3 linked regions of the Bombyx mori genome follow. The protein of the gene in region 3 interacts with the protein of the main gene of each other region in a pairwise test. Links are inferred from orthologs where the notes say so. Each region holds a gene or a part of one and is shown on either strand. Other genes may lie near its edges. The genes, in order: tyrosine-protein kinase Shark, thioredoxin domain-containing protein 5 homolog and protein draper.

Evidence for each region.
Region 1: the proteins of protein draper (region 3) and tyrosine-protein kinase Shark interact in binary tests that used the Drosophila melanogaster proteins (3 or more experiments, as listed by UniProt). The link is inferred for Bombyx mori from reciprocal best matches to the Drosophila melanogaster genes drpr and Shark.
Region 2: the proteins of protein draper (region 3) and thioredoxin domain-containing protein 5 homolog interact in binary tests that used the Drosophila melanogaster proteins (3 or more experiments, as listed by UniProt). The link is inferred for Bombyx mori from reciprocal best matches to the Drosophila melanogaster genes drpr and prtp.

What each region holds. Positions count from the first base shown.
Region 1 is NC_085111.1:13,528,536-13,539,541, forward strand, and holds the start of tyrosine-protein kinase Shark, read right to left. Parts: upstream 5,871-11,006; 5' UTR 5,383-5,870; coding exon 5,347-5,382; intron 4,816-5,346; coding exon 4,719-4,815; intron 4,645-4,718; coding exon 4,568-4,644; intron 4,458-4,567; coding exon 4,249-4,457; intron 1-4,248. UniProt on the Drosophila melanogaster protein: Following axon injury, required for recruitment of drpr and glial cells to severed axons and for glial clearance of severed axons from the central nervous system.
Region 2 is NC_085112.1:13,705,332-13,716,337, forward strand, and holds the start of thioredoxin domain-containing protein 5 homolog, read right to left. Parts: upstream 5,629-11,006; 5' UTR 5,513-5,628; intron 5,426-5,512; 5' UTR 5,138-5,425; coding exon 4,998-5,137; intron 4,456-4,997; coding exon 4,319-4,455; intron 4,204-4,318; coding exon 4,085-4,203; intron 3,739-4,084; coding exon 3,601-3,738; intron 2,751-3,600; coding exon 2,595-2,750; intron 1,786-2,594; coding exon 1,595-1,785; intron 891-1,594; exon of another isoform or gene 818-890; intron 646-817; coding exon 519-645; intron 147-518; coding exon 1-146. Other genes in the region: serine/threonine-protein kinase Warts, read left to right, coding at 8,121-8,372, 10,352-11,006. UniProt on the Drosophila melanogaster protein: Possesses thioredoxin activity. Acts as a ligand for Drpr and is required for the phagocytosis of apoptotic cells. Binds to the extracellular region of Drpr and augments Drpr tyrosine phosphorylation.
Region 3 is NC_085115.1:6,513,231-6,524,236, reverse strand, and holds the start of protein draper, read right to left. Parts: upstream 5,058-11,006; 5' UTR 4,803-5,057; exon of another isoform or gene 4,673-4,802; intron 3,267-4,672; exon of another isoform or gene 3,099-3,266; intron 1-3,098. Other genes in the region: protein spindle-F, read left to right, coding at 9,493-10,222, 10,303-10,664. UniProt on the Drosophila melanogaster protein: Receptor which is involved in the phagocytosis of a variety of cells including apoptotic cells, severed and pruned axons, degenerating dendrites, salivary gland cells, germline cells and bacteria.

The sequences.
Region 1 (11,006 bases), on a different chromosome or scaffold from region 3:
GATTAGTTCGCTTATTCTACCCTACAGATTAATGTTGTTTTTAATTAGGTAGTATTAAAATTTCCTTACTAGATCATATTTACGAGACACTTGTTCTTAATTAATCTCACGCCGAGAAAAAGAAAATATTTAGTATTGTTAAAAACCCACAAATGAATGCATTCGATTTTGTCGCTTAACTATTATCTAACTATTCGCACATACGTAATTGTGGTGCCTAATTAATCGGTAATTATTAAACAATAGTAGAACAGCTTGTATGTCCAATGAGGTTTGTATTTAACAATGAATCATTAACATAAACAAAGATGATTCACAAGAGTGACAATAACATTTAAATATGTGTATGATATTTCGATATTATAAGGCAATGTACAAACAAAAAAAAAAAAAAATCGCAACAAATATAATATTCTGTAAATAGAAACAAAATGGTTTTGTTTTTTAACGATTAAGGAAATTACGAAGACCATTGGCAATATTTAAGTTGAAGTTTGGTAATAAAAACAACAGAGTGTGTATTGTATGAAACATAATGTAAAGGTGATGTAAAAATTGAGTGGCAACACTACCTTTAATAGTGTCCGACCAAAAAAATGAAACAATTTTGTTTTCGATTTTCAATGAACAAGTTTTTGTACTTTGCGTAGGTTTTATAAATGAGAAGGAGGTTTTTAATTGGGATCTATACATAAGTTTTTTTTTTTATAAATTGAATAATATTTTTTATCTCTTTAAAGTCTATCTCAATAAACATAAGCTCTGAAAGCCCTCCGATATTAACGCTTTCGTGTCTTATATTTATTACTAAGTGAAAAGATCTAAATTTATTAATTTCTCTTATCATTATGTTATTTACTTTACTAGGAAGTAGGTAGTTGACAAAACAAGAAAAATCCTCCATATTCATATAAACCGCATTCTAAGTATACAGAAGTTGAATTGTAATAAACAAAAAATAAGATAAAATTTCATGGTTGTAACATGGTTCGACACTAGCACAAGAACAAAGTTTCAAAGTACATAGTTACGTATCGAACATTGTTTTCATGTATGTATGTATTCTAATATAGACTTCGACTGTTTCAAAGCGGTTAGGGCGGTTCACACCGTGTCTATAGATTCTGGTAATCACTTAACATCTTGTGAGCTCAGACACATTTTGGCTTTCACCAAAAAAAACAATCCAAATGCTGTTTGATTACACTTCCTTTATTTCCACAACTTTAAATAGGTTTTAAAGTACACTAATTGCCTTAATCGATACGCTTTTGTAAAGTACGTCTTGCTTCTGTCCTCGCTCAATCAGTGTGTCGTTCGCCATTTTGCGTACATCACGCCCCGCCTCTTTGTGCCAGGGCGGAAGTCAACAAATTTTAGGATAGTTATAAAATTAGAATTTAAGTTATAAAATAATCATAAGTCTTAGTCTGTTATTATTTCCTACTTTTAATATTTACATAAATAATGGGCACGAGGATTGATTCTAAATAAATATATTTTAAACATACTTCAACAGAGTTTGCTATTAATATTTTACTATGTTTCTAATTAGGTAATTTGAATAAAATGATCCTAACACACACGTATACCAAATAAAAAGATCTATATATAAAAAGCGCAACAACAGTTGAATGCCACATAACGCTTGCTGACACATGCGTATATTTAATTAACACACATCGGACCGCATTTGGTATTCTAATCAGTTCAGATTGCAAAGTCACCACATCATAATGCGGGACAAGAATTTTTATGCGCATTAACAAACAAACACGAGATCTGTTGAAATAATATTGCTTTGTTACCATTTATAATTGTCTGACCGTTTGGATATATAATAATGCATTGTTTTAATCTATGTGAGCATATTAATCATATTGACAAATTAATTCTGAACTTTCGTCTCTGATTGTATTTTGATGACTTACGGTTTTGAATTTTTTTCGTTCGATAACATTTATAATACTCGGGATAGTAAAGCTCTGTATTGTAAAGATTTTAAGATTGTTTTTTTTTATATTTAGAGAAATTTCGAAATGCACACAAACGCTCAAATGCAATTAATTAAATAGTTTTGGTATAATATTATCGTTTAATTTTTAGCTGAGCGATAAATATTTGAATCTCGATTGAAATATGATAAATCAATCATATCAACGGCCGTCTGGTGTAGTGGTAAGTGACATGGTCACTACACAAGGGGGTCGCTGGTTCGAATCCCGCCAAGGGAAGATATTTGTATGATAAATATAAATGTCTTTACCAGGGTTATGGACGTATATTAAATATTAAATATATGTATGTGTATAATAAAAATCTTACATTTATTTCCGTTATCTGGTACCTGTAACACAAGTTCTTTACGAACTTAGCACGGGACCAGTTAACGTGGCGTGATTGTTATTAAAATATTTATTTATATTTATTTATCGTAATGTATATTTTTGTTTATAATTATTTCATTTATATATGTTCGGTTTATTAAATTTACTTCTACGTCTGAAACAAAATTGCACTGGCCATATTTGTAATCAGATTCATTATTCTGATATTATTGAATAAACAAGTTGAGTGCCGGGTTCAACAGGAAATCATCAATAAACTTGACTGCAACCAATAAATAATATCACTGACTGCACAGTACAGGGGAAAACAATAAGAAATAAGTTCAATAACCTTATTGAGCTGCATCCAACAGAGGTCACATCCAAGTTTTTTTTCTCCAAATTTAAGAGAACTTTATAATTTTTTAAGCATTTGTTAATGGAAATTATAAGACTGAACTTTAGTGAAATTTAAAGTTATATTTAATTCCCATTATGTTATATACATAAATATATATTATTATATTAGCTTACATAAAGTGTTAGGGGAGTCCTTAGATTTTCTAATCTCATAATTTTAACACTTTAAAGTACTAATTGATCGTTGATTTTATTAATTTCGGAACGTGCAACATTTTTAATACTGCACAGATTTTTGTGATTTGAGATAATATGATACAGAGTAGTAAAAAGGGTATTTTTTTGTTGCTGTTGTAAATTGGCTTGCATATGGGCCTGATAATAAGTATAATCACCATTGCACTTAAAAATGAACAATCCCAGAGGTACAGGCAAGTTGCTGCCTACTGCCGAGTACTCTGATCAAACCTCTTGTGAGGAAGAAATAATATCATACTTTTACAATAATGAAATAATATCAATTTAGTCTAGCCATGATCCGTAATATCATAAGATATTTCCTGAATAATATAATTTATCCTAGTAAAACACTTTCAAGCTTTATTTCAATAAAAGTTTAACATAATAACAGTACATAACATAATTGAAAAACTCAAACGATATCTATCTATCCATTGAGACAATAAAACACAAGAGGGAATTAAGGACAATTTACGGGACCCTCTTCTTAATAGAACATCCTTCTTGAACTAGTCACGATATCACTAATTAAGGGATTGAACAAGTTTATTAACTGTGTGTTTGACTGAGTATCCACAATACTAAAATGATATAGCATTTGTTTAAAATTGTATAGTAAATACATTTAAATCTTATTCAAGTAAAGTTGAAACTTATAGCCAAAATAATAAATTTGATTAAAGTTTTTTGATGTTGTTATTTTACTTGTATTTTAGGAAAATTTGCTTTATTTTTTAATTTCTCGTAATTGGTGATCAAGGATTCATCTTAGCATATGATTAGATAGCAATGAAAACATATCGAAATGAATGAAATAAATTAAGAATTTAGTTCATTTTAGTTTTCTAAGCTTTGCTGTAATTAAATTATCTTGTATTTGTATAATTCACCTTACAAGCATTTGTTGTACAAATCTAGAAAATTAGTTCTTTAAATCAAAGACATAAGAAACTTGGAATAAGTTGGTGCCTTTTAGATTACTAGTAAAACAGATCAGAGAAATTATAAAAAAAAATTGTGCCAGAGTTTTCACGTTCGTTATTTCAAACATGCACATTCCATTGTTGTAAGATATGAGCATTACTAAGCCTGATTTGCCTGCCAGAAGCTTAATTACTTAATTATAACCATTTCAGAACTTTAATTAGCATAATCACTGACTAGAGATACAGTGGTGATGTCTGAATGCCTTAGTGCTTTGTTGTCTTAATTCATATACAAATCCAGTTGTAAGTTAATTGTTATTTTACTAAATTTATTTCAATTTCTCTGTCAAAAAATGTGTTTGGCTTTAGAAAAAAAAATTGAGTTTGAAACACACCTGTGCAGTAAATTTGTTGTTCCCTGTGTCCTCGACTCATGCGGTGGTGGTTCTCCTTTACAGACAATGGACAACCTAGTAACAAGTCCATTTGAATCACTACGGTAATGTTGTATAAGAGTATCCAATCCATGAACAGTTGTGTGCTCTTCTATAGAGAAGAATGCATCTTCACCGTGTCTGCGTATTTGATAATGCACTACTTGACCCTGAAAATTAAATCTTCTATTTCAGAATTGTCTAGCAGTTTTAAATTCTCAAATAAACTTTATTTAAAATATTTTTTTAGGTTATCAAATTTATTAGAAATTTAGTGTACCTGATGCAAAACAGACAAAACATAATCTCCAGGCGAAGTATTACTCTCCCGTACTAAAAATACACCATCTTCTCCTTCTGAAATTACAAAACTTTGTTATATTTAAAGTTTTATTTTGTTCAAAACAATGACAAAAGAACTATTTACTAACCCTCTTTTAACAGTTTCTCAGCGGATTCACGTGATATTTTCCCATGAAACCAGTTAACGTTGTCTTCTCTATTCATCCTCAACAAAAAAGAGTTTGTCTGAAAAGTTAATTGGAAACTTGTTCAACAGGTATGCACCACATTCCACACATCAGATGACCTAAAACTACTAATTTTCTTATTTGTTTTTCTTAATCCTCAATTAATAAAGTTTTAATCTGTTGTAACATATCAAATCAAATCCAAAATGTTCCGTGGGAAGTTTCAAAACTTTGCCAGAAGTCAAAACTTTGATGTAATTACTGATACTGACGCGCCATGTTTCATTCTATTTCATTCTTTCTTGTTGTTTATTACCTACCATAATACTATCAAATTGAAAGTTTAAAGTCTTCTCTCATCTGTATTATTTATCTCCCTCCGACTTCGTTACAAAGTCTGCGTTAAAGAGAGACAAACACCAACATGTTTCAATTTTAAATAAATGTGGTTATAAGTCAAACGTCACAACTGAATCGTCAAATAAGAAACTGATAAGAAATTTAGGATGATTCATCATCTACATAAATACTAGTTTTGCAAAAATAACTAATTATTAATATAGATCAATTAATGTAATAATTTTCTTACCTTAAGTAATATGAATGACGTCATGGTTGTTATCATGATATCCAAATTCCAAAACACAAATATTATATTTCCAAGTATTAATAAAAATTATGATTAACGATATTTTCTACGTTTTCTATAATAGCACATTTTTACAACTTAATTTACTTTTTAATTAAGATACACAAAACTCGGTATTAAACTAGGAACAGCAAACGGAGTGCGTGTGCCATGCAGCCGGCAGCAAGCAGACAGGCGCGGTATCCCCGACTCTGCCTTCCAGCGAATGACTCATAGCAAGGTCAATTCCGAGAAATGAATCACCAACACCAACGTACACACACAGTTCCACAACGCAAACGCTTTATGTGTAGTACGCATTCCCTCACACACAATCTCAATTCTTATTCAGATATTTCAAACATTTAAAATAAAATTACATGTAGTAAGTACGCAGCAGACAAGTCAAAAATAAACAAGTTTTTTTTAGTATGTTATGGTTTACACTTTATGATATTTTTTGTTGTGGATAGATCGACGAGCTCACGGCCCACCTGGCTTTAAGTGATTAGCGGATTCTATAGACATGTAAATGCTGGCGCTCACCTTCAGATGTGAGTCGTAAGTCTCGAATTGAAAGTTTAACTGCCGTCCTTTCCTTAAAATTGGGACATGAAAATTCTTCACGACAAATACTTACCCATGTGGGCCCATAATATCCCGAGTAGACAAGCTCACGTCCACCTTCTGTTACCTAAGTGGTTACTGGCCCATGGACATCGATAGCGTAAATGTCGCCACCCAGAACTTAGAACTCATATCTTGAGATATGAGTTCTAAGTCTCATTTTTCAATACAACAGCTGCCCCAACCCTCAAACCGACAGCGCCGCGGCTTCTCAGCAGAAATGGGCGGGATGGTTATACCTGTGCGGGCTCACAACGATATCCTACCACCAGTTAAAGCTCAGAGACCGGTCACAACTCAACGTAGCAGTCACAGAACAACCACGTAACGAAATTTGTGTAGTGACTATTAAGTTATTCGACCAAAGCGCATTGTGGCAATTTAACAAGATGTGTCCTGGCTATAAAGTCATTGAAAACGAAAACTAATGAAAATCAAGATGGCATATAAATTTTTGGCTGCGTTTTTTTGTTCTAAGCTCCATGTATAAGTATATAAGAACGACAATGGTTTTGAATTTGCAAACAAAGTCTTATAAGACAATAACTAAGATGTAGCAAAGCATGAAAATTGATAGCAATGGATAGCATATACAACTCTAATCGAATGTTGCATCGAAATTTGAATGTCGAACGAAAGTTATACTAATTTACAATCACTTATAAAACTTTTTCTTTTGTATCTTTTTTTACACAATGTCTTCAAAGTGCAAACGAACCTAAAACATATTATGATAGAATGATGTTTATGAACATATTATAACAAGGTACCCATGTTTTTGTGAGGTGTAGAATGTTGGGAAAATTCATTTTTCTAAATACTGTAATAGTTTTTAAATGAGACACAATTAGGCACATTAAGCTTGATTGAAGCATCACTCGATTATCTATTAATTCTAAATTCCAGTTTCCCAATCGACATTCTACATAAATTCGTACTACAAAAAAATGTTAATTTTATCGATACCTAATGTAACCACAACTCTTGTAAAACGAAATAGGTATCTACATAATGAACTATATTCTCATTGTTATTACTATTAGTAACAAATCACCAAATTTCGATTTTCCTTTTTGAATATCAGAATTTTTGTGAAATTTACGGTAAGAACTACATCAATAAATTTGGAATCTTTAAGTTTTCAATCGTATAAAATATACATACTAGATTTTTAGAAAGCTTAAATTAAATCAGTAACTTTTTGGCGACCGAATTTGTTAAGGGTTCATTGAATGATTTTAAAATTAAATTCTAGAATGTTGTATAGTTCACTAATACAGTCAAGAGACAAGCCTGTACATATGTATGTATGCATATAGTGCACGTTTACATACTCAGATCAAAGAACTAGTACTGTGTAAACACTAGGAACTAACATTATCTTGCCAACGGTTCCTATTTATAAAATGAGTTTGTCGTTTTAGTATTGAAAATAATAGGAAAAGTTGTCAAGGAATAACTTTGACAATAGGGGCTATTAACTTTATTATTGAATAGTTTAATCACTTAACTGTTAAGGGAATGTGATCGTGGCCTTCTCAAGCTACAGCTATTACTTCCATGTCATCTGTTCATGGTAGAAGAATTTTCAAAAAATCTTCTATTGTTACTCCTTTAATTCACTTTTAAACTTGCAAGACTGTGGGAACGGTACACCTATATATTTCTGCTGGAAAGTAATAATGCAGCATAACGTGGCCTTTACGCACGCCAAAAAAAATTTTGAACTCAATCTTATGTTTCAAGGTGGAAAGTGATATTTAGGCTACATAGTCTATGAACTGTGAAATTAAACTTAAGCAAATTAAGAAACAGCTTAAAAACATAATTATCATTAACTAATAAATTAAATCGTAATAAATAAGGACATCTGTGGCAGCCCTAATCGGCACATTGTATAACGTACAAGTATATACCTTCGCAAAGCGCAGATGACTCACGTGATCAGTAAATATCACCAATTGAATACCTATCTGGCGCAGAATGATTCAACTCAAGTATTTTCTCAGTACATACTTTTACATTCGCAGAAAGTAAATATTATTTCACAACGACAGCCGCAACGATAATTGAACATCCTTTTTATGTGAATCTTATGGTCTATTGATTATTTTATTAGTTCGGTAGGCAGCGGCTTGACTCTGCCCCTGGCATTGCTGAAGTCCATGGGCGACAGTATCCACTCACCATCAGGTGGGCCATATTATTATGCTCATCTGCCTACACAAGCAATAAAAAAATTGGAGTATTATCTTTTAATACTGTCCAAGAAAGTTGACTATCGAAGTCGCCGCTACGCAGGGGCACCAGAAATGCCAAGAACGCAATCAATCAACTACCTGGTATAAGCAATTTTGCCTAAACCTAGTCAGAGCCGTGAGCGAATACTAGTATAGATAAAATATGTGAGGTACTCTTCGAATTCGTTAAATTGGCTATAAATTCGATTGTTTTAATCTCGTTTTATGAAACGAATACAGACGGTGGACGGCCCCAGGCAATGGATGGCATATCACATGGTACATAGTTCTTACAACAATGTGCAGTATTTGCAACGAACGCCTTAACTAGTAGAACTATTATCACGATCTCTTAAAGTGGCCCCGGCATAAATCATCAGCACTACGACCTTTCTTTATTTCCGGAAACGATTTCCCTACGTTCGGTATGGATAATAACATATTCATCGTTGACTTCCTTGCAACATACAATCTTTTCCGATTAAATGTCGTGCCAACTCCATCAACTTCCACACTATATTTAGAACTAGAATGTTCTGAAGAAGTAAGAACCCAGTCATATTTAAATAAAGAGCAAGCGTCAATATTTTTAGTATGGGTTGCACATAATGAAACAATAAAACTTCATTCACTTTACTAACATTTTGGTGATTTTAAGAAAATATGACTGCAGTGAAATAATTTACTTTCTAAAACTGAAACTGATCGTGATCGGTGGTATAGGAATCAAAGAATTAAGATAATGAACCGATCAAAATGCATTAAAAATAAAAAAAAGATTGCGGTTTTTTTAATTCGCGGTGCATGTTAAAACATTGTCAATGTTTTCAGTATTTCGGGTGAGGATCAGAGTTTGCGGTGAGACTTCGTATCGTCTTTAATCTCTAAATTACAATAAAAGCTCCCTGAAATTATTTGAATGTATCAAGTTCACGGGACATTTCAACACTACGTTCAGTGTTTTTTTTATTTTATTTAAAGTGTTTATTTACAATACTTACTTCTCCTCTGACCGTAGTTTTTGCTGCTCGTGTTGCAAGTGAGAAAGTCTAGCACACAGATTGGTATCTATGTGATGAACCATGAGTCATGACTGCTAGATACTAATAATTACATAAGACAGTGGAACCCATCTGTAGAGGCTCTTAACATACCCAGTACTTAAGGCAAGAATAAAAGTTAAGTAGCAAAATAATGGAATTACCAGTACTCCTCCTCTGCTACTACTACGGATGGATGATTAACATGTCAAGATATCCAAGATCACGCACCCATTGCCAATAAAGTTCCCAGTTGAATAAGTGGTTTTGTCATTTTTCGGAATAAAAATGGATATGTTATGATCAAAATATTTGATAATTACATTAATGGACGTATTGTTGTTTCCCTACAGCCCTTGGTTAATATTACTTATTACACAGACCATTTAATGATTCATTCCATAATTCAAATAAATAGTTCTGACTGTTACAAAGGTATTTGTGCAAACGTAGAAAGTAGATACAACTAGGTAACGTGGCTTAGTAGTACTTAGTTTCAGTACTAGATGTTTACAAACCTGTTTTCAAGTTTGTTTACCTCGCAAGCCAATGTTTATTTACTTTCGTTGGTCTCTCTGACACCAGAGTTGGATAGAATCTTGACTTTAGAATACGCTATTGTATGCATTCACTACATACTACACTACATTAGTTTGGTTTAGCAATTTTAGGTGCCTTATCACACACCATCACCTTTGCATTAAATATTACGATTTCGTTTTTATACTAAGAACCTTTTTATATTTAACTACTACTTAGAGTTTGTTTATGTTATTGTATCAACAATCGCGGAGGTCTTAATTGATCGTAATAAAAATAATGCTTTTTCGATGCTTAATATTGGAGATCCATAGAGTTAGTGTTGTACTTAATAACTCCATGTTGAGATCATATTGAAATGATTGCATAAAATACTCAGTTAATATTCGTTCATATTCAATTTGTTACTTTAAAAAAATACTAAACTATATTTTGGAGTATTCGTTTCAATTTAAAGGTACCTACCAAATTTCATTTTCATTAGGACGTTTCAAGGCAGCATGGAACCGGGGTCGCGTCGGTGACTCACTCACCGCTTTCTACCACCATCGGATAACCAGCGGTCGATGACCCTTCCGTCCTTCACTTCCCACCCGTAGCGTAAATTTTAATTTTTAACATACTATTTTGCAAAACAGTTCTTATCTACCAGAAGTTATATTTTGCAGTTAATTCAGTTTGAAATCGTCGTGGCCTAAAGGATAAGACGTCCGGTGCATTCGTAGGTATATAAAGGTGTTCGAATCCCGCAGGCGGGTACCAATTTTTCTAATGAAATACGTACTTAACAATTGTTCACGATTGACTTCCACGGTGAAGGAATAACACCGTGTAACGAAAGTCAAACCCGCAAAATTATAATTTGCGTAATTACTGGTGATAGGACCTCTTGTGAGTCCGCACGGGTAAGTACCACCGCCCCGCTTATTCCTGTCGTGAAGCAGTAATGCATTTCGGTTTGAAGGGTGGGGCAGCCGTTGTAACTATACTGAGACCTTAGAACTTATATCTCAAGGTGTGTGGCGCATTTGCGTTATAGATGTCTATGGGTTCCAGTAACCACTTAACACCAGGTGGGCTGTGAGCTCGTCCACACATCTAGGCAATAAAAAAAAACATCGATGATCTTATAAATTGCATGTACTATACAACGGCAGGTGATATTCAATAGCGG
Region 2 (11,006 bases), on a different chromosome or scaffold from region 3:
TTTGTCTTGTCTTCTGGATCTGTACTGGCTGAATCTTGTAAATGCTCTGTGATGAGTCCAATCAGACTATCAAGAGGTCTACCACCATGTTCTACACTTACTATTTTCTTATGTCTGTACAATATTAATGTGGGTAGTCCATTAATCTGAAAAATATATATATTATTGACGTTTGAAAGGCAAACGTGACTAAGCGATAATAACTGCTTTGTACATAAATGATAGGCAATAACCATATTCGATGCGCAAAAAAATTATATTTCTAGGTCTATTAAAATCATATCAATCCTACAGCTAGATTCGTTAAAATATAATTTTTTCAGGTATTTAAATTTTAAATTACTCTACTGAAAAGTTCACGCATTGTCGCTTAGTCATGTTTGCCTTTCAAGCGTCGTTATAATTGATTTTATAATCATACGCAGTACTACACATTTAATAGTTAGGCCAGGTTTTGAGATGAGAAGTTTCAAGCGGAAATTCAGAATCCTATTTATAATGAATTTAATGTGTTATACCTTTTCTGTTTCACAAATAGGTTTACTCTGCACACAGTCAACATCTGCTATCAATACTCTTGTCTCGTTTTGGAACTTTTCCCCTAATTTAATCCATAATGGGCTTAACTGCATACAATGTGCGCACCTGTAAGCAAACCAAGGAAGTGTACAAACTCTCATCAAATTCTGGACTATGGACTTAGGATTTATATACTAATTTGACACAGGAGGTAATAATATAACAACTATTACAAAAATAAATAAAACAGTAAATGCAATAAAATGAAAAAATGCCTATTTGTAGAATACTGCAGTGTATATGGAATTAGAGGTTTATGAACATGATGAGTTTACGATACTCATCATGTTCATAAACCTCTAATTCCAAACTGTTCTGATCTTCAAACTGTTTGCCCTGAATTGCCTATAATCCTGGCAGTATCACTGAGTCATAGAATTAGTTTAAGTTACACACTTCTCACCCGGAAGCATTTATTGTTCAGTCCCACCTACTTTCTTTTTTCCTACTTATGCTGATAGCCTTTCAAGGCTATTTCAGCTTCGCCCTAACGTTTGTAGGTGAGCTCGCGGGGCTCAAACCGGAGAGGTACTAAGACTGACCCTAGCAAGAGCAGTGCTTTACAGAATCTACCACCGGATCGGAAAAACGCGACCCACTGAGAAGATCCGGCGAGAAACTCAGTGAGCTGTGTCTGACACTGGCTGTGTGGCCTAGAATAGTTTCACTTTCGAGTGGGCAAAAAGCGACTAACAGATTCTTAGAGAGGGATTTAACTAAGACTATTACAGCAACACTGTGATCACCTACCGCCACTTACTTATGGTGTGTACGACAAATTAGTCTAAGCACTGTGGAAAGTCACAGATAGAAATATTTTCACACACTGTTATACTTTGTATAAGCTCCCATTAACTTAATTGTTATGTTATATTTTTAAATTTGAATGGTAAACAACATCATTAGCAAAATTCCAAATTATTCTAAATTGATATAGGATATTAATAATATGGAAAACATAAAAATCCAGGAATCATTTAAAAACAATAATTTCATTTTTAAAGCACTAACTAACCATGGCGCAAAATAATTAATAAAAACTAAGTCATTTTGCAGAAAAGTTTCGAATGTCTCCTCAGATATCCTGGCCACAGGAAGTGCTTTCTTTTTTCTTAGAAATTTCTCTGGATCGTGATTTTCAGAAAGCAACATTTTTTCAACAAATGCTTTCAAATCGTCTAAGTTTTCCCCATTCGAAGCACCCATCTGTAGAAGAAAGTAATAGTAGAAGTAAACTTATTTCTTTATATGATATAGGCTATATTATCTTTGAGGATCTATTAGACTTTATTAAAATCCATTAAAGTACAGAGTGTTCTTTAGTTTATATTCCAGTGTTTTAATTTGTTCTCTTGATAGTACACAAAAAGGACTAAAATTTAATAAATAGCATTTACAAAGTGTTTTTTTGCAATTTTATTGGGTGACTTGAGCTCACGGCTCGCCTGGCGTTCAATAATCACCGGATCTAAAGCCATCACAATGCGAATGGTCATCTTGAGACATGAGGTCTAAGTATCAAGTGTATTCAGTTATAGTATTTTTTTTATTGTCCTTACAGGCAGATGTACGTACGGCCCACCTGATTGTGAGTGGTTACCGTCGCCCTTGGACTTCAGCAATGACAGGCGCAGAGTCAAGCCTTGCCCACAAAGCTTGTCTAGGCTTCTCACCCTTCAAATCGTAACGCATTAAGAGTTCGCGGCAGAAATTAGCTGAATCGTAAAACCTACCTGTGCATGCTCAGGAGACACACCTGCCACCAGTAATTGCGCAAATTATAATTTTTAGTACACAATGTTAATATTTCATTATGGTAGTTAATCAAATGTGGTAAGAACTACATCATTAGAAAAATTAGTACTTGCTTGTGGCATTTGAGCACTGGCACAGTCACATCTCTCAACACGGTTGCCTCATCCTCAGAAATAAAACATGTGCCACTATGAAGTGAAAATAAATAAAAATTATCTATTCAGATAAATTTAATCATTAGAAACTTGTTATATACTCACAATTTTTCCATTAACAATCCAGAGTAAATAGGGGTACTGTTTGACTTCAAAATTTTCGCATGTTATCTCATTATCCATACAATTAACTTTTCCAATTTTTATGTAGTTGTTGTGAGCGTAATGTACTGCTAAGTCTGCCCAAATCGGTGCCATCCTCTGAAAATTCAATATAAATGTGGTGTGTTACATCATTGTCGTACTTCTGCATTCTGGCAAACATATTTATGAACCTTATTCTAGAAATAACAATGGAAACTGGCTGTTCTATTTGCTGTGATCTGGGATCCATCAAGGTCATCATCTTGGTGCTGATGGTATGGTCACTGACTGATAAGTGAGCATCATGGTTGTAATTGACTGCATGAAAAAGTTGAAAACTGATCGAGTGATTTATGTGAGCTGTGAAATAGAAAAATAGTGCACCAACCCTAATAAAGCAGTTTTGTAGTGTATTGACCTCAATCCAGAGATGAAATCTTTTGCTCTCCTAGAATGGCCTAATTTGACACAAAATTTGGTCCCAAATGCTATTCTGCTGTTACACCATGATAATGCAGAATGAAGTGGCAAAGCGAAAAAAAGAGTATTTCCTCTACAGCCCATCTTATCCAATGCAAGAGTTTAGTTACTATAACTGATTGGCCTCTACTTTCTGCCATCTTAGCAAAGCTTCAACACCATTCAGAGGCTCCAGCACTGCTGGTACTGGGGTTTGCTAAAACGTACATGCATCTCTCTCAGAACTCTACTGTACCCTTATTGGCTCATGTCACTGAAATAGTATCCAGCCAGTTAGTCTATATGATAGCAACCAATCTTGAAAACTTTATATCAAAGCTTTGCTTTATAGATATACACTACATTTTTTTTGTAAGTTGGTGCTACAGTTTTTGCCAGACATTGCATACCAAAGTCAAAATTTATCATCCCCATCATTGATGGTAGAAACATTCATTTCTACAATAGAAAAATGTACCACATCATTTTTTTATAGGTTTGGGATTACCTGAGATGCACGACACCAAGGTACAAAAAACATGATGAAATGCTGTCCTTTTGACACAAACTTCTCAATATTCAGGTCATTCAGATAGGACATGCCGCTGTATGTTTTAACTTCATTTGGTTGTTTTGATTGTTTGCCCTGAAATAATAAATTGGATACAGGTTTATATATATTATATTTTATATTCAGTCACATTCTTATGTTGTAGTCTATGAAGATAGGTCAGTCAGAAAAAATTATAATAAAGTGATATTATTAATAAATTTTGACACAGAACTTCCATTTATATCCATTCATCAAAATGGTCTAAATTAAGTATAAATCTCATTGGTATTTAACCTCATATCTGATTATGGCTAATGGCATTAATCTTGTGATGTTTGTAGGCTAGAATTTAATCCCATTGACCTACTTTTGCAATGAATTATGAAGAATGATTTTTTTTAATTCTGAGCAACAGTGACAAAATGGTTCTACTACTCACCTCTGTTTTGACAGAGAAGGCTTCGCTCAGAAACAATGTCAATGATGGTAAGTCCCTTGTTCCTTTGTATTCAACTGGTGTAAATGTATTTTTGTGGAAATAAAATAATGTTGGATAACCTGTAATTTTTTTCAAATTTATTTACACCATCAACTAGTGTACCTATTTTAAAAAAAAATTCTATTATGTACATACTTAAAAACAAGGAAATTATGTGTATGCTTACTTAAGTACCTGTTATTTCATTTTCATGACAAAGCTTAGCATGCACTGTGCAGTCAACTTGGGCAATGGCAAATTTGGAGTCCTTGGTATTAACCAGCTCTGCCAATTCTGACCATATCGGATAAAATTCTGTGCAATGTCTACACCTTAAAACATATAATTTCTGTAAATGGTATAGTACCGTAATGGTAAAAAATATAGATATTATGGTAATTTCAAACAGTATTTTATTGAAACTCTCTTGGAACACATCTTTAGTTGTGGATGGTTAACAACTTTTTTAATTTTATATCGTGAATTACCCTCATTGAATCAGTCGTCAGCCTTTTTGTAAAAATGCTCATCTAACTTTGTAGTTTAGTCAATAAGTATGAAGGATCTTTTTCACCACTACCCACATCAGTTCGTTTTTATTGAGGGCATTCAAATCTTTTGTTTTGAACGGAAGCTTGGCTGTGATCTTCGTATTTTCAATTTCTATTAGAGGTTCACACACAATAGGCCTCATCGATGTCACTACGGTATACCATTTACATTTCGGTCAACTAAAGAAAATTAGATTAAGTTTATTTATAAAATCGTTTCGATTCAATATTTAGTATAATTTTTATCATAAATAAATGAATATGTAGATTGTTTTGAATTTAATCACTGAAAGGAATAATGTAAATTCAATTATTGTTCTCACCATGGCGCGTAAAACATAATAAAGTTTCCATCCATTTCTTCGATCTGGAATTTGAAATTACTGGGATTGTATTCGTAAACAGAACTCTGTTCAGGAGCTACAAGATACGGAAATACAAATAGATATGGTAATATCTTCATTGTGGTGAAGGAATATATTTCTAAACAATGCCTCTGTGAATTGAGGTAACTTTTTTAGGTTGTTTTCATTTATATCTTTTCTCCTTCTCATTAGTTAAGTAGCTAATAGGTTAAATCTAAAACAACAAATAATTTCGTATTTGTTGGATAAATTTTGCTTTGCTGCACAGCACTTCAAACTTTTTCGTTTGGTTTGTCTATTGGCAGCACAGGGAACGTAGCACATATAACATACACAGTAATATTCTATAACAAAGGTGAATCTATGTCTGTTGTGTGGAAAGTCAACTGATATAGATTGATAAAAAATTGAATCAAAAATTAAATTAGATATCTTTTTTATTGTCCTTATAGGCAGACGAGCATACGGTCTACCTGATAGTGAGTGATTACCGTCGCCCATGGACTTCAGCAATGCCAGGGGCAGAGCCAAGCTGCTGCCTACCGTTAAGTATTCTCGCCGTTAAGTACTCTGCACAAGCCTCGTTTGAAGAAGGATATGTGGATTAACTGAACTGAGATAAAACAATACCATACCAATGAAATAATTAGTAAAATGGTTGGAATTAAACAAAATCTTAAGGGAGCCGGCACGGTGCGGGATTGTTCTGGCGCAGCTGGAACACAGGCCGTACTTATTGTCCGTTTAATGTTGTACTCATAGATAATACACATAACTTTTGTACTCTCCTCCAACTAATATATTCATCTGTGCTCTCCTGATATTATGTGTATTATTTATACTTTCCTCTCATGCTCGCTGCACGAGTTAATATTTGCGACGATCTTCTTTGAACTGTTGACTTTGAACCGCAACAAGAAAGCCGCGGCATATATCGCCGTCAAACACCAATAAGGGCGAACCGTTGGCCATATTTGTTCACCACCTAACCGGGGACCTGCAACACTTTCGCGAGATACGACGCCAAGGATACCACCGTTGGTTGCTTTGTGGTGTTTGTATTTTGCCGCACGCCGCCTATTATAATAGGTAGTTCGGAGGTTAAGGATGACAAGATAAGATCAATGGACTTTGGAAGAATTCAAAAAGCAATATCCAACTATTTTGTTTCGTTTAACCACCCTTGTGTACTTTCAGAGATACTAAAATGTTAATAAACCACCGTCATAACATACTAAACCTGATGAAACAGTAAATAAAAAAATAAAAAAGTCACAACTTGACAACAGCAACAACCTAAAAAAATTCCTAGCACTGGCCTCAGGTAGAGATGTACTTGGTTGAATTTAACACAGGATCGGAATCACAGCCCTCCGTGAAGATCCGGCGAGATCTCAGTGGGTGGTGTCTATGAGCTATTTCATACGTCGAGCACAGCAGAGAGTAACGTGCACAGCGAACGACAGAAGAATCTTTGAAAGTGGACCTGAAAGATCGGAAAGAATATGTTAATGGCTACGGCGGCTTTAGGTTGCCCTGTTGCCTGGGTCGGATATGTAATGAGAAGCGGAAAGGTAATGGCACGCCGCTTTATCAAAATAGCGTTCCGACGCTTCCATAAGGTTTTTACTGATAGAAACTAATTAGTTCTTACGTACCACGGTGCTCCGAAGGCTATTTTGCAGAAATGGGATTGGATAACCTGGAGAGAGTTCATGTGTGAACGGGACGCGTGAGCGAACACTACACTTACCTATTTCCTTATTAACTCCAAGCCTATTTCACAATGGAACGTATGCATGTTTTGTAGAGTGTCACCTTGTTATGAAGAAAATGAATTAGGCAATAGCAGATAGAAATTTCTTAATTTAACAGTCTTAGAATTAGACCGTTATACTCTTTTTTTTTTCTTTAGAATTTTTGCAGTTAGGATTTTTGCTGTGAGTCCTGTGACTAGGTACTTACTCCATGCCTGTGACTTTCTTATTATTCGGATACAGTTTCATTTCGACAATTCTGTAGAAGTGTTTTTTTAAAGGTCTGATTATTACTTTTAATAGAGAAATTCCTACATTAGTAAGCAGATGAGTGCTTTAGCTGGGTTCTTTTTTACGAAAAAGAGTCGTCAAACAAAATGGAATTTAATCTTCTGTGTATCCGAACACACTAAAGAATGTGGTAATTCTTCAAAATGGTCGCTTTGTATGGTTTGCCAACTTGCATGTCTGTGTTTTAGAGTCCTTTGTTTTCATATTTCCTTAGAAACTCTCGCTTTAAAGCACAACTCTATCGACTCCAGATTGCCTCTTCCGTATAAAAATTAATGCGACTAATCAAAACTAAGTGTGCAAGAAAGATGTCATCGGCAATGTGAGAGCTGTCGATCGAACTGAATTTCATTTTATGGGATTATGACATTTGTGCATATAATACGGATTTACAGAAAGTGAAAAAGTGCCTGGTAATGAATTACAGTAATTAATTATTCTTCTTAGTGCCTTGAATGAACGAAACATTGCTTTCCGAGCTCCCTCTAATTTTGGAATTCCACAAGTCTATGTCATGATTGATTCGCATTAGACATTCCTTACATCCTCGTACTCTTGGATAGAATGCGATACTGTTAAAAATTGTGTACTCGAATTGTCTGATACTGTAAACAGGTTCTGTATAAAGTCGACAAATCATATCCCTATCCTGTTGCCAAGATGTCAAACTTTTCTCATCTAACTTATTTAACTCATTATTTTATTATCACATAAAATTTAAGGGATCTAAAGCAAGAGGAATTCTCAATTGATTAGGTACTAATATTTAAAAATATTTTTCAGTTAAAAGAAAGTACCTTTCACGCTGCTACACAAAAAGCAATGTTGATACAGACTGACTAGTGAGGAAATCGATATATAAACGAAATAAATTCGATAATAAAGACAGTGACAGTGCTGCGAGTCTTAATTAGAGTGTTGAATAAATGGTGCGGAGGATAATAAACAAGGATATGTACAGGGTGTGGGGTGTGCTCATGTGATGGGAGGCGTGGGGTGAGAGGTGAGGCGCACGGGCGCGGGCGCGGGCGCCATGAACCCGCCGGCGCCCGGCAAAACGGCTACGCGCTCCGGATACCACCAGAAGGCGCTTGCCGAAATCAGAAACTCATTGCTTCCCTTTGCGAACATTGGAAACTCTGAACCGCCAGGTTCATCAGCTGCTAGCACAGTTAGTTCAGGAGTGAGTTCGGGGTTTAGTTCTTCTTCGGGAAATGGACTCGATAAAGACTTGAATGTGCTACCTCAATCCTTGAACCAACTTATTGCCTTGGGTTATGATGAGGTGAGTTTAGTTATAATGAATTGCTAAAAGTGTTTCTAAATAACAGATATGATTAGTGTTTTTTTAGTGTCATTATTCCATTATCTTTAATTTTTATAAAAAAACTGGCTGGCATTGTTTTGCCATAAAAATATTTCTAGGAAAGATACCGACTGCAGTGCCGGGTTGCTTTATAAATCTAAACCATTCTCAAATCCACCTGAAGATACACAGAAAATTTCATTAATATCGGTCCAGCCGTTTAGGAGGAGTTCAGTGACAAACACACGCACAGAAGAAATATACATATAAAAATACATGGAATTTATAATACAATTAAAATATAATAAGAAAGACTATCAACTTTTAATGTAGAAGGCAGTGTATGGCCGATATTATCAGTATTTATTGGTGATTAATGTCCATTTTCATTAATACCAAGGCTAAGGACAATCTTTAACCAGGTTTGAGTAAAACTTAAGTTATTGTTATTTGCAATAACTGAGAAATTTTAATTAAACATAAACACTATAAGTACAAGCTAATTACTTGCATATTGCCTGGTTGCAGTGGAATGAGGAATAGGCAATCATGAAACCAGTGGTAGTTTGTTTTCATTTTCAACAATCATGTTAAACATAATTTAAATTGAATCAAATTTATAGTCATAACAGTTATAAAATGAATGCTTAAGGTTGTGTTCTTGGATATAATGTTGACCAGAATTAAATTGAGAAGTAATTTATTCACAATACAAAAACACAAGATTTTAATTTTTATTTTCATTATTGTATTGTGCATGTTGTAAATGCATATTGTCTTGAGAATAAATATGGTCATATACCAATATTCTGTCTATACCTAACACTTTAACCATGTATTCTGGTTTAAAGGGCAGGCTGTCAAATATTTTAATGCATTTTTGAATTCAGCTTCGTGTTCAGATTTTTTAAAACCCCTATTGTGATCTATAGGCTTAGTTATAAAGCCTAAAATAATAAAATCTAATATTAATGATAAAAAAAGATTTTTTTAAAATTATTCTACACATGCTTTTTTTTCTACCGTCTTGGATTATATGTATCTTCTAGCTATTAGTATCATCGGTGACTGATAGCAGGAAGTTTTCAAGATCTCCAATATCAATTTAATTTTTAGTTTTCACAATTGTTCTCATAAATTTCCCAGGCGAAAAATTACATTACTGTGTACTCAAATAAATCCTTTTTTCAACATATATAATAGTATTAGAATGAGGTAAAATAGGAATTATATTCACATAGTTTGTCTATGTAAAGTTTATAAGTCAGCAAGATAATAATTATATTACAATCTACAACAAAATTACAATAAAAACTCCAAGCAAGATCTACATAAGAAGTTCGGTATACTAGTTTTGCCATGCCATTATTATTATATTACCACACAGAGACTAGGTTTGTTGGTCGTCAACTATCCATTGATCGAATGTTGGTTGTTAATTTATAATGTTACTCTGCCCTTACTCTGCTCGGGCACTGGACCCAGACGAAGATCGGGCGTTGGGGGAGAGAGTGCAAGGAGAGTCTTTTGGTAGGTAGGGCCCTAAACGTTCTTGGACCTGCGGTTCTCTCCCAATGTCTACGGACCATCAACACCCACATACTCTACGCGCCCCCTAAGCCCCCTGCCCGAATTTTTTATTATTAGATGGATGGTTTGTACCTGCCGCTGCAGGGTGGGGCACACCACCCTACCGAATTTTACTGTCAAGCAGTAATATGCTCTAATTAGAAGGGCAGGACAGTTAATATACTATACAATTGAAAAATTAGACCTCTTGTCTCGAGATGGATGACGGCGCATATACGCTGTGATGTCTATTGGCTCTAGTAACCACTCACCGTCAGAAGAGATATTCACGGTGTACTTAGATTATAATCAATTTGGTAAAATTTCATTATCTTGTTTTGCTTCTGTTTTTGAATAATGAGTATATTATTTAGAAAAAATCATTTCAGGACCCAGCTGTGAGGGCACTCAAATATGCAGGAGGGCGTTTTGATGCAGCTCTCGATTATTTGTCGAAACAGCAAGAACCTCTCAACGGCGTCCTCAAAAGCAGTAACTTGAGTGCTCTTGGCACCAAACTTATCCGGAAACCTAGTCTAGAGAGAGAGATAAATCTACATCGTGGTAGTCCTGCACTTGATTCAGGTGCTGGTAGCTCCCGGTCTGATAGTCCGCGTCAATCGGAGCCACCGCCGCTACCACACGAGAAGCTATCGCGACAGTATTCGCCTTCAGGTTTCTCAGAACCACCGCCACCTCCGCCGCCGCGATGTCCGTCCACGCCGCCGGTGCTGCCTTCCGTGCAGCAACTGCTCAAGCGCATGTCGCCGGCGCCACCTCTACCACCGGCGCGGGGCACCAGTCCCGTGGCGGCCGCGGCACCCACGCCGCCTGCCAGACAACCCATGATTGTACAAAATGGACCTCAAGTGCAACAGCAGCTTACGCAGCAGATACAAGCTCTCAGTATCTATCAAACGGGTGGCGGCGGCGAACTTCCACCGCCGTATCCGATGTCGGGTGCGCCGCCACCTCCTCCCTACTCGGTCTCTATCCAAAATCGTCAAAGCCCAACCCAGTCGCAGGATTACAGGAAGAGTCCAT
Region 3 (11,006 bases):
ACAGTGTTCAGGTTATTTCTTTGTCCGATCCTGTATTTCCCAAATCATAAGCCTTCTCATGGCATTAACATGTACAGAATGACATTGTTGTGTGAGAGTTCGTATGCACTTCAGCGTCAATCCGAGGCTGGCTATCGCTGAGAATGTAGGTTATTTTATATAATATTTTCATACATTTTCAGTTCATAGCGTATATCTTTGCTTAAAACCGCATACATATTTTCCAAGCCTGCAGTAGTTGTAACAGTTTATATGTCAGCTCCCGTTTCTGAACTGGTTCTAGAACCATCAGTGTACCGGTTTAAGCTGTTCTCCTTAGGTGAAGAAAATCCTTTCTGCCATACCATCTTAATTCCCTATTAGTCTTTATTTATCAACAGGTTAGCATGGTATCAAACGTTGTGAACGAAAAGTTACGGTATTGTACACATACCGAATGCGAATATTGCGAAAAAAAAACCACTTTAGTTGTAAATAGCTAGTCAAATCCGCCCCGCTTTGCTGGCCGGTCTTTCATATGACTTTGATTTAATTGCCACCAACATTTTCTATGATTCCGGCTAGGCCAATGTAAAGGTTTCATCGAAGAAAAATTTCATCGAAATCGGTCCAGAGGTTTTGTAGTCTACAGGGAACATACACACATCGACTTTTATATAACTTATATGGATAGAAACATTTTAAAAATCCGATCTCAGACAGATAGGATTTTGTCTTTCTATTCTTCTGTCTCTTGGCAGAGTAGTCGTGGTCATCATTTATATCTTTTGTATTATATTTACTTCAGTTAAATCATTAATACAATGCTGTTTTTCTAGTACTGATATTTTTATTTTACGTTCAAAGTAAAATGCGTTCTCTTGACCTGAGTGCCTGCTAGTAGGTACTCGTAGTTGTTGGCAAATTCATCGCTCCGTCATATCCTTCGATAGTGGGTGGGACTGTGGATAAAGTAGGCCGCATTGAAGCACCTAGTCGTCGAGCTATTGCCGATTCCATTTAGACGGACCACTGAATGTGTGAACTTTTACAACGTATGTAAAATACTGTTTGTATTTTGTGTAATTTGTAGTCGCTAGGAGTAAGATTATTTTAATTTCTAATTTAAACTTCGATAAATACATACATTTAAGCAGATAAATTTTATTCACATTTAATCGTTTATCAAAAAAGTAAATACGCATTGCAATTTTTAACACAACTATTTTATATATGTATACTATAAGTATACTAGATATTTATGGAAACATGAACCTGAAATTCGGAAATGTTTTGCGACGCGTGTAGGCTTTGTAAATATGTGAATATGTCCGCCTACGTACTAAGCTGTATGACTAATTTACTGACGTCACGAAGAATGCGATTATTTTATTTATGTCGCTATTCAATGAAGAATGTCCAGTTACATGTATAATATAAGGGAATAATGTTTAGCTTCAAACTAATATTTCCGCATGTTATCTGGTACACTACTGTTTGGTTAAATCAAAATCTATCTTGAGTAAGATAGATAATACAATTATACAGATAAGCTACAAAATTTAAAATTTATTAAACGTTTTATCTTACACCACACAGTTCGGTTCATAGTGTGATATTATACTGAATATTGCTGTCAATAATACTCTTTTTCTGACCGCATCGAACTGATTTATTTATAATACTATATTATTGAGATATATATACAATTTTATATTCAGTCTGTAAACCGTCTGTACACTAAAGAAAAAACTTCTTGATGGATGTATCAACAAGATTTTTCTTTACTATTCCTATTTTTATTATACATATATACTAAATACACTAAAACTCTAAAATACGCTAAAATATATTAAAACTCTCTGACGTGACGATAAATGTATTAAATACATTAGTCTTTTTTTAAATACTTCCGCGTTATTTTGCGTCCTTGATGATATTAATACAAAAACCTTTACTTATGTAACAAAAATTGTTCCAAGTTTTCAGCTCAATCGGATAAATATAATGGTGCGCAAATGTGCTCCTTTTAAATATACTAGTCTTCGCCTTCTAAGTGAAATTGTATAATAAGCACAAACACCTCAAGAGTCAAATTATTTTTTTTGTTCTATTTTTCTCTATGGTATAACATTGTCAATGTTAATAAAATAAATTTAGACGTAACTGAAGTTCGTCGATACCTACAAAACAAAAAGAGGAATAATATTTTTGACAAACAGAGGAGATAATGGTATCTACTTACCTACCCGTTTTATCTTTACCTATTTAGGAATGGATTAGACTATAGTATTTACACCCCCGATTACCTTCTTCGCCAACCCATACCCTGGGCCAGGAAGGTCAAGTACCTGGGTGTCACCCTGGATGCATCCATGACATTCCACCCCCATATAAAATCCGTCCGCGACCGCACCGCGTTTTTTCTTGGCAGACTCTACCCCATGATCTGTAAGCGGAGTAAAATATCCCCCCGTAACAAGATGACACTTTACAAAACTTGCATAAGGCTCGTTATGACTTACGCGAGTGTGGTGTTCGCTCACGCGGCTCGCACACATTTAGACACCCTCCACCCTACAATCCCGATTTTGCAGGCTAGCCGCCGGAACTCCGTGCTTCACGAGGAACGTTGAACTACACGACGACCTGGGCCTCGAATCAATCCGGAAACTGAAGTCAGCGTCAGAACGGTACTTCGATAAGGTTACGCGTCATGATAATCGCCTTATCGTTGCCACCGCTAACTGCTCCCCGAATCCTGATCCTGCAGGAGCCAGTCACCGACAACGCCCTAGACACGTCCTCACTGATCCATCAGATCCAATAACACTTGCATTAGACGCCTTCAGCTCTAACACTAGGAGCAGGTTGAGGGACCCCGGTAACCGTACTTGTCGAACTCGGCAAAGAGTTCGACGTGCACCTAACCCATGAATCAGCCCGCTGAGTTTCTCGCCAAATTCTCAGCGGGTCGCGATTCCGATCCGGTAGTACATTCAAGTGCCTAGTGTCTTCAAACTTAAAAATAAAATAAACGACTCGCGTCTTTCCCGTAAATTTTTGTCGAATTTTAGTGAGCGCAACAATTAATACATACGGTGGAACAAACAATTTACCTTTACATTTAACTATATGCCATATTCCTTTACCGTTATATTCTCATGCTCTATATATTTATTGCGGACGTTTGAAACGTCGTATTTCAGTGATGTAACGTGGTATGTGGACGAGAAACCCACTAATTGACCATAGTGTCGCTTTTTAATCCAAGCATCCGATCTTCACTGAAACAGCTTGTAAACGGCAAGCGGAGTAATAAATTTCCCCAGTTCACCCTTCGCAATGTCCCGTCCCCCCATCGACCGACATCAGTGTCATAACGTGATATGTTAACGTAATCATAGGTCCTCTCAATTGGTGGATTATATGAAGACCACCTTGAAGGAGCCTCATTAATCCCGGGGTACCATACCAAGAACCGACGTCCTTAATCTCGCCATTCCGTAACTCCATTCAACAACTCAAGTTCCTCTACCTCCTACAATAAGACAATGGTTTCACATAGAAATTAGTAATTTTCAACTTTCGAATTCCAAAAATTAGCAACAACAGGTGGGATTCTACTCTCGTGATGAGAGGCATTGTACTGCTTGTCCAATGCAGAACAAACAATAAGTATGTATCCATATCCTTGCAACCGTGCCAGGGCTCCATCAGTCAATAGACTATTTTCATGTAAATATGCATGTAATGCTATTTTTCAAAGTTACAAATCTAAGTACAGTTTAAGATAGTATAAAGTATTATCTGCAAATTTTTTCTGATATTAAAAGTATTTTAAATTTTTCAACTTCAAATAATGTGGTGCACAGATGTTGAGTATGAAATTTGGCACATTAGTCATAAAAACTTAAAATACTTTTCTTAAGCAACACGTGGGAGATAACGAGTGCCTGTTTTGACAGTTTCATTATTATTCCTAGTATTAGTAATTTTTTACATCACATGATCAGTGATTGTTATGAATCTTGGAAATTCTGCAAGTTAAACACTGCCTTACACATAACTAGAGAACATGGAAGACATACTGTCAAATTAGCAGGTCATTAACTCCAGAAATACATTGAGGGTTTAAATTCATAAGCAATCTGGATTTACTTCTATCACTGTTGCAATACTGGTGCTTTTCTCTCTAACTGATTTATTAATACGTTGAGGCCATGGAAACCATTGTTGGTATGGAGTTCAATACAAATACAATCTTCATATAATGAGAAAATATGTTAGGTACTGTGTTATCAAAGATTTTTAATAAATAAATATAATAAATAAATACTAATAGTTATTACTAACACATTACATTACCAACTTCAGAATAAAATAAAAATGTATTGTCAGGACTAAACTTGACAACAGCTATCAACTAATAGGTAATGAAACAGTAATAATACTTGACCAACCAATGAACACCACAAAATAAAGAAAAAATATACTTTTAAAATATTAGACTACCTTGAAAGTAGGTCAAAGGATAGATATGTGAACTACATTTATATTTTTATATACACTATAAATCTGGGTTCTTTAGATTTTTATTTAATACATAATATCAAAGCCATGTCTAATTCTTGCTCTCAATTTAGTGGAAAGAAAGGTAGCATTAAAAATAAATATTTAATTTATGAAATACCTGATTAATCAATGAAAACGTATAGTTTAGTTACTTTTTGACAACGCATAAGTGGAACGCTGCTCCACAAAATTTGGCCAAACCCAAAACTTGAAAAGTTCAAAACAATAAACTTTAGTAAAATACTTGCGCCAAGTTGTCCAACACTTCGACGAAAATAACACAAACAATAAAATATTAAATTTTAAATATCAAGTTCAAGCACTCGTCGCCGTATGATTTATGTAATTCTCACGTTTAATTGTTGAGCTAATTCATTGTTTAATCTGTATGCATTCTTAATAAGCTTAGCTCTGCACAAAACCACAATTTTTATCAAATATTTCACATCTCACGGTAATAATTAATGATGGTGACGACCTCAAGTGTATAATCTATGGTGCCGTCGGTGCCGAGCACAGATTAGTAACTTGTAACTGTTGATGGCATCAAGTAGGTTTACTGAATTTGACCCCCTTTTTTTGATTTTCAGATTTTTTTAATTTTTAATTATTTGTTCGTCGTTTGTTCATTAATATTCGAATGTAAAAATTGTTCGTCTCTTATTTATTTATAATTAATTAAACAAATGATCACACAAGTTGGCTCTCTTTACTAGATATTTTTATTTTTAGCGCTCAGATTAATTAATTTTGATCAATTATCGTTTGTTCGACGACTATTGGTGATTTTTCGATCATAAAAACAATTTTATTTTATATCTAATAAGCAAACCATCACCTCACGCCTACATTGCGCATGCGCCGCACAGTGGGTCGATTCTATGATTTTAGTGACTTAGGGACCAACTTTGTTTTTTTATAAATTTTTTTATGTAGATAGATAGAGCTCGTTAATCTCAATAATAATTGTTTTGGGCAAAAATTACAAAAACTTTATAGTTTGGTCAGAAAAATGTGTTTTGTGATTTTTTTGTATGGAGCGGGTCACATCAAATTAAATTCCTGCTAAGTACCGCGAGGTCCCGCTTTGAAACTTTATTTTCCTTATACCTTGTCTAGTCTACTATCATTTGATGCTATGAACATGTGCATAAAGTTGCAACTCTGCCAAATAAATGGATCGAAAAAAATTTATAAATACATAGAATAAAAACCTTTATATTTTTTTTCGTAAGTGCTTTTAAGTTAAATTTGATATGGATTAGTAAGTAAAAGCACGTAATGATACCCATAATTACAAAATACCTAACAACAATACATTTAGTAGGTCTCTAATTATGCAATCTCTCTAAATATTATATATTTTGTTTCACCTTTCGATCTTTGGGTCAGAAGACGAAAGAAGATTGTGTAAAATATCCTCATTAGTCGACGTTCTACTTCTCATTCTTGAATAACATCTCTCTGTATATTTCCGAAAATCTTTATTGCGAGCTTCCGCTGCCTCTTCCGAGAGTTTACCTATACGAATGGCACCAAAGTTCTTCATTATTATATATCACTGCCATGTGCCAACAATTTATGGATACTGGAAGGCATATATAATACCAGGGATATACATTAACATACAATTCTGCAGTATATCTAAAAAATTCCGAAAAATTGGAAACGCGCTCTCCAGATGCAACAGAGTGAAGAATCACGTGAAGCCTCTCTATTAAATCTTTACGTATTCCTGTTATGCGGGCTGTTTCTTCTGCATCCCTGAAAAATCTTCTGGCAGTATTGCCATCATTGGTTGTTCCTACTCCTTGCTTGACAACATCTATAAGTAAACCGCATTCCTTTTTAAACGCTTGCTGTATAGCGCTCTTTCTGATTGATATTTTTTCTTTGTCATCCCCCCTTGCAACCCCATTTCTTGAAGTCCAAACGATAAGACGCAAACAAAAAAGTGTCATATAAAAAATAATCTCACAGGAAACTACATACTATGAAAAAAGTAATAAAATTATATTTACCGATATGAAGTAAGCACTCCATGCATCTTATCCAGGCATGTAAAGATGGCATTCCATACTGGAATATTTCTTCATTATTTTCTCTTTGATAAGCAAGTCACTCCAAAAAACTCTGACGGTTTTGCTTTGCAAATATCACAGACAGCAGAAAATGTTTCTGAAAAATATGAGGTTATTTTGCCGTCTATCATCATCATGTGCAATTGATGCTTAACTTCAACTTGTTTGATTTTTGATGGCTGAAGTCTTTCTATTTCTTCTGTTATGCTAGCTTTTATAATTGTCACTGTTGACTGCGTTTCTTTTGTAAATTTAAACATTATTGGACGGCAATAAAAAGTTGATGAGGTCGTTTTCCCAAACAATTGTTCCATCAAATTTCTGAAGCCTTATAGGAACTAGACTGACCATGAAAATAGATGAATCATCAAACTCTGTTTCAGTTTTCTGTTTATAATTACTTTGACCTGGGGCTCTATCAAAGCCTATTTGCTTATAAGCAGTAGCTCTCTTGCAGAGTCCAAATCCGAAGTAATCACATCTAAAAGCCTATATAGCACCAAGTTTAGTAATGCTTGCATTTTAATAGCAGCTCCTTCTTCAGTAATAATTACCTCGTCTTTCCCTGGATAACATTTGGTCTTTTCTTGCTTAATTTTATATTAAGAAGGGTATAAATCAGACCCATTTTCACTTGCTGCTTCTCTTAGGTTTATATACTGCCACTTAATTTAAGTGAAACTAATATTGCCTTATCGGGAGAATATGTACTACTTTTCACTTTACTTGTAATTAAATACTCATTAACTTTTTCTAGATCTTCGGGGTGATTTAACAAGTGGTTCATTATTTCTCCTACATCTTCATTTCTAGTGTTTCTCAAACTAGTAATTGTAGTAGCTTTCATTTCATCCGGGGATAACGAAAGCGATTGGTAAATTTGTTCAATGCGTCTTCGTTTTTGCCTGGATCCCAATTCTTCAAAAGGTTTTCGAGGTGCAAAAATAGATGTCGAGGCTTCTGTAGTACATTTGAGGGTGGTACATTTTCAACATCTTCAGTATTAGAAATCTCGAGCCTTTCATGTGCAGTGTTGATAGCTTCAGGTATCATTCCTTCGGGCCAGTTTATTGCACATTCTAACCAATCACATTTTTTTCTTATAAACTGTGCTAACATGCGACTACTTCGTTTCCATATTGCACTTATATTTGAACAAAATTGCGTACTGAATTTTCGGAGCTCAACATTTTTCTCTTCGGTCACGTTTATTTGATTTTGTAGGAATTGAAAGAGTTTTTTATTATCAGACAGCGACTGTAGTTGCTCTCTTAAAATCATAAATAATCCTAAATTGTTAACAAAATTATCAATTATAACGGAAACAGCAAGATCACAACGACAATCACGAGATGTTAGTAGTAGTACGAATAAACGAACACTAGTTAGTATATAATAAACACGGTCACTTTATACTTCCAGAGACAAACAAATGTTTACTATATTTTCTACTACCCAGTAATGGCTACTTAACTAATTATCCTCATTAAATAATGTTAACTATCTTAATAATTAGAGAGATTGCATAATTAGAGACCTACTAAATGTATTGTTGTTAGGTATTATGTAATTATGGGTATCATTACGTGCTTTTACTTACTAATCCATATCAAATTTAACTTAAAAGCACTTACGAAAAAAAATATAAAGGTTTTTATTCTATGTATTTATAATTTTTTTTCGATCCATTTATTTGGCAGAGTTGCAACTTTATGCACATGTTCATAGCATCAAATGATAGTAGACTAGACAAGGTATAAGGAAAATAAAGTTTCAAAGCGGGACCTCGCGGTACTTAGCAGGAATTTAATTTAATGTGACCCGCTCCATACAAAAAAATCACAAAACACATTTTTCTGACCAAACTATAAAGTTTTTGTAATTTTTGCCCAAAACAATTATTATTGAGATTAACGAGCTCTATCTATCTACATAAAAAAAATTATAAAAAAACAAAGTTGGTCCCTAAGTCACTAAAATCACAGTATCGACCCACTGTGCGCCGGTTTTGTCAGTTAATAAAATATTTCATAATTGGGAATTTAATTGTTTTTATGATTGAACAATCACTAATAGTTGTCGAACAAACGATAATTGATCAAAATTAATTAATCTGAGCGATAAAAATAAAGATATCTAAGATATATAAGTAAAGGAGGGCAACTTAAGGGTTGAGGGAGTTCATATAGAGTCCCTTCTTTATTTCGCCGTAAAGTCGTGTTTTATGTAATAAGTACCACAGTTGAAACAATATAAATTTTATTGTTGTAGCGGCATAAACAATTCTAAGTAATTATATTACATTAGTTATTAAAGACGTTATAAATTATTTTTACGTTTTAAATATTTGGCGGTATTTTTTACCGTCCCGTGTCCCGTGGTCCCGTGTCACAGACTATATTCCTTTCTCCACCTCTCGTGCGTTCCGGCCCACGCATCATAAAAATGTGCGTTCATAAACGCTACAGGGTGATCATTTGTTTAATTAATTATAAATAAATAAAAGACGAAAAAACAATTTTTACATTCAAACATTAACGAATAAACGACGAACAAATAATTAAAAATTAAAAAAAAAAAAACGGAAAAAAAAAAGAGGGGCCAAATTCAGTGAGCCAGATCCACCTCTGTCATCATTCTTGTCATAGCTCATAGATTAAACTCATAATATATTTGTCATAGATTATAGTTGATTATACACATAATGTCATTTAATAACTTAATTCTGTCGTTATTGTGAAACAAAAAAGTTTAATTCTATGTACACAGTTATGACATAATTTTAGAAGAAAATACGGGGTGAAATTATGTACTTCTATAAAATAATGTTGTTGTAATGAAATTGTTTTAGGAAATAATGGATACTTCTTCAATAGTAAGTTTTAATAACGACTCTACATTCCAAGCCACTCTTAAAGGCGACTACAATCACCACAGTGTTCACGAGTTGGCTCTTCATGCCATGAGGGATCGTTGTCTATTACTACAACGCAGAATAAATGTTTTGGAGAATGACAACATGCGCTTAAAACTTGATGCTACAAGAAATAATGAAAATATTGCTTTTCGTGACGATGACAAACTTGACCTACTCCAGAAAATAGCTGAGCTTAATAAACAGAAGTCGCAATTGATGCATCACGTTTTTATGGTGTCATGTGAGAATAGAAACCTATGGAATAAAATATCAACTATCAAGAATTGTAATAAACCTAATAAAGAAAATGTCAAAAACCCATTAGTTCGTACCAATACCTACATCCAAAGCACACCTAAAACAAGTGTAAATTATCAAGAAAAGTATTCTGAATCAAGCTTGGAAGAAATATCTCTGAAATTAATAAATAGCTATATTCAGGAAAAGTCAAATTTAGTTGATCAATATGAACAAATGGCTCAACTTCATAGGGATGAAGATATGTTAAATGTAGATTCTATTGGTTTTACATACTTAGAAGATCCTGCAATGGAATCTTTAAAGGATATTATTTCTCAGACAGAAAAAGTGCAATCTCTGAGAAAAGAGGTAGCTCAGCAAGAAAATGATCTTAAACTAATATTAGCAAGATTTGAGACTATTGTGGCAGGTAAGACAGAAAGGTAGAAAGATATAAAATTTATAGATTCCAGAAACTATTTCTATTGATTCTGTTTGTCTTCTTTGCAGAAGGATATAAGTGTCCAACTTGTATTACAAATAATACCAAAGTTGTGTCTTCAGAAAATAAACAAATTGAAACAAGTGATAGTCTTATGAACTGGGAAACACCAGCTGATTCCAGTTCTTGCAATAATAACTTCAGTGATATCAACACCTCTGTTATAAAAGAAAGTATTATTGAAGAAAAAGAAGAAGATAACGAGCCTTTTGATAAAATATGCCCTATGTGTGGACAAACATTCCAAAAAGATACTGAGTTTTCAGAGTTCAGAGTACATGTAGAAAGTCATTTTACAGGTGAAACAGAACCAGATTCCTTAATAGATAATTTTGAAAATATTCCTAGTTCTTTTGAAAATGCATTATAGTCAGTAATTTTCCAAAAAAAAATGAGTACTTTAAAAAATATTTTTTGGTTAATTTTGTAAGGCTATTGTTTACTAAATACAATTAATTAGTTCAATATTAAAATTTGTGATGAATAGGAACAGTTCTTTTTTTTTAAATAACAAATTTACAAAGATTGACTGGTGCAATGTGATTTCATCATCATCATCATCATGCTTTCCTATTACCCTCTGCTGGGGTGTAGGGCTCGAATCAAATTTTTCCATTTGTATCGGTCTTGGGCAGTCTGTTCTAGCTCCTCCCACGTCATGCCCAAGACCCTTAGCTCCTGCTCCACCGAGCGACGCCAAGTTGTTCTGGGG